Linked DNA regions of Macaca fascicularis. The protein of the gene in region 1 purifies or fractionates together with the protein of each later gene. This does not show direct contact. Links are inferred from orthologs where the notes say so. Each region holds a gene or a part of one and is shown on either strand. Other genes may lie near its edges.

The links.
Region 2: the proteins of PAXIP1 (region 1) and NCOA6 purify together in Homo sapiens (co-immunoprecipitation; 6 studies listed by BioGRID and IntAct, with this or other methods). This does not show direct contact. The link is inferred for Macaca fascicularis from reciprocal best matches to the Homo sapiens genes PAXIP1 and NCOA6.

Annotation. Positions count from the first base shown.
Region 1 is NC_088377.1:196,303,222-196,307,651, reverse strand, and holds the start of PAXIP1 (PAX-interacting protein 1), read left to right. Parts: upstream 1-1,564; 5' UTR 1,565-1,758; coding exon 1,759-1,839; intron 1,840-4,430.
Region 2 is NC_088384.1:90,871,053-90,875,622, reverse strand, and holds the start of NCOA6 (nuclear receptor coactivator 6), read left to right. Parts: upstream 1-1,760; 5' UTR 1,761-1,945; intron 1,946-4,570. UniProt on the Homo sapiens protein: Nuclear receptor coactivator that directly binds nuclear receptors and stimulates the transcriptional activities in a hormone-dependent fashion. Coactivates expression in an agonist- and AF2-dependent manner.

The DNA.
Region 1 (4,430 bases):
TACACTAAAAAAAGGTAGAACAAAGGCCAACTTAAAGCCTGGAAAGTGATCCAATCTGTCATATTAGTGTACCACAGAGTAATTTTGAAAGCCTTTTCTTTTTCTTTATTTTTGAAAAGACGGAGTCTCGCTCTGTCGCCCAGGCTGGAGGGCAGTGGCGCGATCTCGGCTCACTGCAACCTCACCCTCCCGGGTTCACGCCATTCTCCTGCCTCAGCCTCCCGAGCAGCTGGGATTACAGGCGCGCGCCGCCACGCCCGGCTAATTTTTTGTATTTTAGTAGAGACGGGGTTTCACCGTGTCGCCCAGGCTGGCCTCGAACCCCTGAACTCAGGCAATCCGCCCACCTCGGCCTCCTAAAGTGCTAGGATTACAGGCGTGAGCCACCGCGCCCGGACTTTTCTCTTTTTTAAAACCAATTTCACTAACATTTACTAAAAAATGGTTTTCTGCTTTGCAGAAGAGACTTAAGGCATGTGGAGAAGACACTGCGGGCCTGTCTCAGATTCCTTTAGAAACCAATGCTCCACAGTTTTAGGACTAAGTAATATTCCGATAATCACCCAAGAGTTCCTGGTCTCCGGTTTGTTGTGAGATTGGAAATGAAAGTGAAAGGCTGCGTTCGTCATCGTGGCCTTATTTCTTCTCCCAACTTCCGGTCGTGCAGGTGTCTCGGGCAGGTGATGCCGAGGCCACTCTGCCGTGTTTTGTGAATCTTGGCAGAAGGGAGGCGAGCTGTAAATAAAAGCATGAGCATTAGAATCGCCGCTGTGTAGTATTAACCTGTTGAGCGCGGGGCTTTCCGGGGCTGGAGCTGCACCGCGGGCTCTGCCGTCTGGGACTCTCCTCCAGCGCGGACCGGACACGACCCCAGGCACCAGGCCGGGCCCGGCCGGGACAGCGGGGTCTCGGGCAGCGGCGGGGCCGGGCGCCCCTCCAGCACGTCCCCAGCTCGGGCGTCGAGGCCTGGCGGAGACCCCAGGACTCGCCACGGCGGCCTCCAGTGCGCGTCTTGCGTGATGCTGCGGTCTCTGGAATTCCGTCACGGCGGAGCCGGGTCCAGCAAGGTGTAGACCGGGGACCCGCACCTTGCTCGGCCAGAGCGGCTCAGCCACTACTCCAGGTCCGGCCGCGGCCACTGAGAACAGCCGGGACACCCAGCTCCACTCTGCCCGGGACCAAGAAGCCCGAGGAGGCCGCTGCCCGGCTCCAGCTCTCACTAGCGGCCCCGAAGCCCCGCCCCTCCGCCGGGCGCATGCGCAGCCCCCCAGCAGCCGCGTGTGGTGACGGGAGGGGCCTGCCCGCTCCCCTCCTTCCCGGGACCGGCTCACTCCGGCCCCGCCGAGGGGGGCTCGGGTTTCACCTCGTCCCCCGGGATCCCTCGTTGCAGAGCGGCGGAGATGGAACCGCAAGATCCAGAGCGGGCCAGCGGGCTCCAGCTCTCCCGGAGCCGTGGATGGCGGCAGAGGCGCGGGGCGTTGCTGGAGGCCGGGCGGCTCCTCGGCGCTCCCCCTCGGTGGCCGGGGCGGGATGGTGCGTCCCGCAGGGCGCGCGCGGCTCCCGCGCTTCGGGCGCTCGGCGCGGGCGCGGGCGGGGGCGCGGAGGGCGGGGGAGCGGACCCCGATTCGCAGGACCCGGCCCGGGCCGCGCGGGCAGTGCCGTTGGCGGGGCGAGCGGGGGCGCCGGGCGCCGCGGGGCCGGGGGCGGGGGGTGGGCGGGGCCGGGCGCTGCCGCGGAGCCTCCCGGGCCGCCGCGATCATGTCGGACCAGGCGCTCAAAGTTCCTGAGGAGATGTTCAGGGAGGTCAAGTATTACGCGGTGGGCGACATCGACCCGCAGGTACCGCGCCCGCTCCTGCCGCGGCCTCCTCCCGCGTCCGCGTCCCCGTCCCCGTCCGTCCCCGTTCCCGTCCCCGTCCCCGCTCCTGTCGCGGGCGCGCGCCGGGCGCAGAGCGTCGGGTCCGCCGAGGCCGCCGGCCTGACTGCGCGGAGGGCAGGGGCGACCGCGGGGTGGGCGCGGGAGGCCGGGGCACGGGGGAGTGCGGGAGGGAGGGCGGCCGGGGCGGCGGGAGCTCTGTGCCTCGGTCCCTAGTGCGTGCCCTGAGCCCCCGGCCTGCGGCCCTGGGGTCGCCGCCCCCCACCCAACGGGCCCCCTCGCTCTCTGCTCCTTTGCTGAGCGGGACTGGCGCCGGGTCGCGTCTCCCCCTTCCCCGCGCCAGGCGTCTCGGCTCCCGGGAGAGCAGCTCTGAGGGCGGACGAGGGTCGCCGGGATCCCCAGCCGGGGCAGCTCGCGCGGGGGCCCCAGGCTCTCTCGGCCGGCGGGGACCGTGGCCGTGCCCCGGCGTGGCCGCCTCCGCCACCCGGGCAGCTGCCGTCCTGTGCGGGGCTGAGGAGCGCTCCTTTCCAACCTGTGTTCCTGCACGTGGGGGCTGGCATTCGTCTTCCTTGATTTTCCCAGTTGGACGATTAATTTTACGGTACCCTGGTAACACCATCCCATTACACATTTAATTTTGTGTAGTTTGGGCTCACGCCAAAGGACATTGTGGGTTTTCCTTATTATTCCTATAATAATACATCTGTTTGATGTCACACAGTTATCAGTCCGTGGTGGGAATGCATCTTAGTTGAATATCCTCTTCAGGTTAATCTTCAAAATATTTCCTTCCCAAAAGTTTAATTGTACGATTATGTTGCCTTGGATGTGACATCAGTGGCTCCCACCTTGGAGGATGGGGATGCCCAGTGATCAGATTAGGCCTGGAAGGGCGGGAACTCATATTTAGCAGATAAACTTGGATGGTGTAGAAGGAATTGTAGAAGGCTGATTGATCTTGGCCTTCTTGAGGTTCGTCCTTGTATCTTAGTAACAACTTTTTTGGATCCTTTTTGCTCTGTAACTTTAGGGTAAAGAGACTTCAAGGCCGGGGTGGTGGCTTACGCCTGTAATCCCAGCACTTTGGGAGGCCGAGGCGGGTGGATCACCTGAGGCCAGGAGTTCGAGGCCAGCCTGGCCAACATGGTGAAACCTCGTCTCTACTAAAAATACAAAAATTAGCCGGGCGTGGTGGCGGGCGTCCGTAGTCTCAGCTACTCAGGAGGCTGAGGCAGGAGAATTGCTGGAACCCGGGAGGTGGAGGTTGCAGTGAGCTGAGATTGCGCCATTGCACTCCAGCCTGGGCAACAACAACTTTTCCGTCCCAAAAAAGAAAAAAAAAAAAAGACTTGTATCTTTGAATTTAAAGAGTAAAATGCTTGCTGAACACGGAGTGATCAAAATGAGTGCCTGTAACAGTATGAGCTTTTTCGAGTATTGATGGTGATTCCGCGACCCCCTCCTTTTTTTTTTCTATCCACCATTTTTCTCTTCCGCCTCCCTCCTTGCCTTCATGTTTCATTTTAGGACTTTGGCTCTTACAGGGGAGTTGAACCAAACTTACTGAAAACCTGGAACAAGTTGAACTGGAACCATATTTACTCGACTATGAATGAAATCTAAGTGCTTAAAAATGTCCTTGGCAAACCGCTTTCATCTGAAACAGTATATTTTCTGAAGTTTTGAGCCTGGACATCTGATTCTCTGACTCTTGTGATTGTGAATTATAAGTTCACATGTTGACCATCTAGTATGAGGCAGGCATGGATTAGGTGCCAGGTATAACACAGAGGTGAAGAGGACATGGTACCTGCCCTTGAGCGCCCTTCATTGGTGGGGAAGGGAGCACACATCACAGTACAAGGTGTAGCAGATTTCCCCACTGGGGTGCAGAGTAGACGCCACTGAAATGTCATTTCAGTTGGGTTTTGAGATAAGCAGAAGTTAAGAACACGAAGGAATATTTTCATGTGGAGCTATGTGCTGAGGAATGAGGCATTCGTGTGTTTGGGATACATCAGGATGATCACTATATCTGGAACAGAGTGACTTGAGATAAATCTATTAAGATATTCATTAGTGTGGAGATTGAGGAGAAGCTATTGGTTTTGGCATCCTCAAAGTTCGTGAAAATCAAGTAAAGTGTTTTTGGTAGAGTGTTGGTGGAAGGGGCTGGATTGCAGGGAGTTGAAGAGTGAATGGAAACTGAGAACAGAAAGGTTAGACTCTTCAGGAAATTTGTCCTGAGAAGGAAATAGAGAAGGTGCCTGGGGAACAGAGGGCTGGGGAGGGATCTGTGTTGCATCACAAGTGCGTGGAAGGATGTGGGCAATTTCACTGTTTACGGGTGGTGGGAACATAGCTATGGACAGGGAGACTCATGAAGAAGGCAGTAGGATCAGAAACAGACTGGAGGATAGGAAAAGGAGGGGTGCCTTTTCTGAAGACCAGTCGAATGAATGAGTGAAGCTGAAAATGCTTAGAGGTCAAGGGAAGGAAGAAAGGTTAAAGTGGCCCATGGCCAGCGACCGTTGTTTTTTCACTTACTAAATATT
Region 2 (4,570 bases), on another chromosome or scaffold:
TGTTGGCCAGGCTGGTCTTGAACTCCTGACCTCAGGTGATCCACCAGTCTTGGCCTCCCAAAGTGCTAGGATACAGGTGTGAGCCACCGCACCCAGCCAGGAGCGAAAAATTAAAACAATTGAACTCATGGAGATAGAGAATAAAAGGAGGGTTACCAGAGGCTGGTAAGGTTAGTGGGGAGGTGGGTGAGAAGCGGGAATGACAAAAGAATAGTTACAAAGAATGTATAAGACCTAGTATTTGCTAGCACAAGAAGGTGACTATAGTACAAAACAATTGGCCGGGTGCGGTGGCTCACGCCTATAATCCCAGCACTTTGAGGGGCTGAGGCAGGCAGATCATGAGGTCAGGAGTTCGAGACCAGCCTGGCCAATATGGCGAAACCCCATCTCTACTTAAAAAATATACAAAAATTAGCTGGGTGTGGCGGCAGGCGCCTGTAGTTCCAGCTACTCAGGAGCCTGAGGCAGGAGAATCCCTTGAAACAGGGAGGCGGAGGTTACAGTGAGCCGAGATCGCGCCACTGCACTTCAGCCTGGGCGACATAGTGAGACTGTCTCAAAAAAAAAAAAAAACACAAAAACCACACACACACAATTTAGCTGTACATTTTAAAATAACTAGAGTGTAATTGGGTTGTTTGTAACACAAAGGATAAATGCTTGAGGTGCTAGATACCCCATTTACCATGATGTGATTATTACATGATGTATGCCTGTATCAAAATCTCATGTACCCCATAAATATATTCACCTACTACGTACTTACAAAAATTTAAAAAATACATCAGTGTAGTGTGGGAAAAAAGAAAACAAAAACAAAAATTTTTTTTTTTTTTTGAGACGTGGTCTCGCTCTGTCGCCCAGGCTGGAGTGCAGTGGCTGGATCTCAGCTCACTGCAAGCTCCGCCTCCCGGGTTTACGCCATTCTCCTGCCACAGCCTCCCGAGTAGCTGGGACTACAGGCGCCCGCCACCACGCCCGGCTAGTTTTTTGTATTTTTTAGTAGAGACGGGGTTTCACCGTGTTAGCCAGGATGGTCCCGATCTCCTGACCTCGTGATCCGCCCGTCTCGGCCTCCCAAAGTGCTGGGATTACAGGCTTGAGCCACCGCGCCCGGCCCAAAAAATTTAAAAAAAAGAGTGAAAGCCAGATATGAATCCAGGCCTGTATGACAGACGTCAAGGCCAGTGCTGAGGAGGCCTTTCTACATTTGGGAAGTGGGGAGGGGCCACACTCGTTCGATCAATAATTCTATTTCCTGAGCATTTTAGCTTGCTAGGGAGGTAATGATGGGAAAAAGAAGAGAGGGATTTAGAGGCAAATAATAGTGAAAGCTTTTATCTATATCCCATTAAGCTTATTATTAGACACTATGTGTCAGGCACGGTGACAAGTGCCTTCCATGCCTACCTCCATTTCCTCCTCACAAGAACTATGATTTTCCCCATATTTCAGATGGGTAAACTGAGGTTTGGAGTTGCCATTTCCAAGGATACTCAGTGCGCTCGCAAAAGGCTGTTCGGTGTGTGTTTCCCCAGCGGGACTCACTGGCGAGAGAATAGCACTGGGAAGCCGACAGAAACCCACGAGATCCCAGCATTAAGCTCACAGCACCCAAGCGAGCTGGCGCGCACTCCACCTCGCGCTCCCGGGGACGTCTGGTCACGTGGGCAATGCCCCGCCCCTCGAGTCCGCCCCGCCCCCTCTGGCGCTCCCTCCCTCTTTCCCTCCCTCCCCCTCCCTCCCCGGCCCGGTCCGGCCCATCCCCCTCCCCGCCGGCTCGGTGAGGCCCTGCCGGGTCGGGCTGCGGGCGGCCGGGCGCGGGTGGCCGGACAGACGGGCGCACGCGAGGACTGACGGACGGACGCACGGAGGGCGGCGGGCACGCACGGCCGGGGCTGGCGCTCCAAGGCCCGCCCGGGAGGGCTGGGGCCGCGCTCAGGTGAGACGACGGCGGCGCGGGCCCGTAAGGGGTGGGCCCGCCGGGTGTCCGCGGTCCTTGTCGGGCTGGCTTCGCGGGGAGGAGGCGCCGCCCGGGCCCGGCGCGGGAAAATGGCGCCGGGCGACCGAGTGGCACGGTCTGAGTGCGGGCCCGGCCCGGAGCCGCCCCGCCCGCCGCGCTTATGTCCCCGTCGCCATGTTGGGGAGCGGGCCCCAGGCCTGCGGGCGGGGGCGCTGGAGGGAGCGGCGGCCCGGCGGGGTGGGGAGGGTGCTGGGCGCTGGGGCCGGCGCACTGAGGGAGTGCAGGGCTGGCCGGGGTCTGCACGGGGTGGCGCTCCAGGCCCGGGGAACAGGCGGGAGCCAGTAGTGGGGTCGTGGTCAGGGTCGTGGAGAAGGAACACTGGATCCGAAAGGAACCAGGATTGGGGTCCATGGGCTGAGAGGATGGCAGGACGTGGAACTGGGTTAGGCCTTAGGCGGGCTTAGGGCACTAGTGCAGGTAGAACCTGGTGATTGGGGTGGAGGCATGGGGGCCAAGCTTAGGCTGTCAGGGCTGGAGCAGTTCTTTGCGGGGAGGGAAGGAGGTGATGGATGAGGAATGAGGGCCCTTTGGGTACAGACGCTGGTATCAGATTGGGGCAGTCCTTGGGGTACTGGGGCTGATTTGCAAAGCTGTATAACTCCCAAGGCTCTGAAGACTTACGTTCCAAGCATCCTCCACCCCCTATTGGGGGAAGCAACAGGAAAAAGGAGGTGTTTGATGAGAGAAAAGGGGGACAAAAGGGGACTGAGGTTTGGGTGCAGGAGCTGACCGGCAAAAGAGGCACAGAGAGTGGAACTGGTTGGCAAGAAAGGAAAGAACCTTTATCAACTTAGGGAATTGTGTGTGTCTTTAAAAGGAGGGACCCGGCTGTTTGGGGGCGGTGACCCAAGGTGTCTTCCCTGGAAGGGGACAGCCCACAGCTTAAGAGCAGGGTCACCTGGAGAGGTCATCCGAAAGGCGTTATTGAAGCCAGTAAAATGGTGAAGAAGAGTGAATGTATAAAAACTACAAAGGCCTGAGAGATCAAGTAAAGATTTCAAATCAGGTAGTGATTTTAGCTGAAACAGAAAGGTAAAGTTGACTTTTCAAGATCTTACAAGTTAGTAGCAGAGGGTCTACTGGAAATGGTCAGCTGCCTGCTCACTAAACACATTGCCTTAAAGGAGTTTGCTAGCTGGGAGAAAGGTGTTAAGAAATGAACCATAACATTCTTGTGATGAAACTAAAAGCAAACAAACAAAAACAATAAGAAGTGAAGCGTAACAGTATATACCAGATAACTATTAAATTTGTTTTGTTCCTTTAATGACTTTGGCAATACAAAGGCTGAAGGGAATACAAAAGAGGGTAGGCAGCCAGTTTTTTGGTATTTCCTGGCTCATCTCTAATTGTGCAAAGTTGTTGTCTTTGAGACCTTCTAACTTTGTAGAGTTTTAAGAGATGCTCCGGCCAGCCATAGTGGCTCATGCCTGTAATCCCAGCACTTTGGGAGGCCAAGGCGGGAGGATTGCTTGAGCCCAGGAGCTGGGAGACCCCATCTCTACAAAAAAATAAAAAAAATTAGCCACCTGATGTGGCTTGTACTTTTAGTCCCAGCCACTCAGGAGGCTGAGGTGGAAGGATCGCTTGAGCCTGGGAGGCCAAGGCTGCAATGAGCCGTGCTGTGATCGTTCCATGATATTCCAGCCTGGATTACAGAGTAAGACACTGTCTAAAAAAAAAAAAAGAAAAAAGAAATACTTCTTCTCTTCTAGGTGTTTACCACAAAGGGACACAAAATCCTAAAAAAGAAAAGTGAAAAATTGTAAAGACCCAGAGTGTCTATTTTGTTAATTGAAGTTGGATCATGTTAGAGAAAAATTCAAAGTTCGCGTGGGCTATGGGAGAGTTCTGAAGGAAATATGCAAACTAGTCATGGAAAATAGGTCCAGGGCCCCATATAATCAAAGAGAATTAATGAACAGAAAGGTTATGAGGGCAAATATAAAATAAGATTGTCAATACCATATGTATATACTGCAACACAATTCATTTGTTCTGGGTTTTTCTTTTCTTTTTTTTTTTTAATTTGTGGAGATGGGATTTCAACATGTTGCTCAGGCTGGTCTTGAGCTCCTTAGCTCAAGTGATCTGCCCACCTCGGCCTCCCAAAATGCTGGGATTACAGGCGTGAGCCACCTGGGTTTTTCTAATGAAGGAAGACCTGACCTTATCTGTGCCATGGACCCCTTTCAGAATAATATTTTTTAGTTGTATAAAATAAAGTACATTGAATTATAAGGAACACCAATTATATGGAAATATAGTTTCCAACATATACAAATCTAATATTCATATACTTGTTTTTTTTTTTTTTTTTTTGAGACGGAGTCTCGCTCTGTCACCCAGGCTGGAGTGCGGTGGCCGGATCTCTGCTCACTGCAAGCTCCGCCTCCCGGGTTTACGCCATTCTCCTGGCTCAGCCTCCGGAGTAGCTGGGACTACAGGCGCCCGCCACCTCGCCCGGCTAGTTTTTTGTACTTTTTAGTAGAGACGGTGTTTCACCGTGTTAGCCAGGATGGTCTCGATCTCCTGACCTCGTGA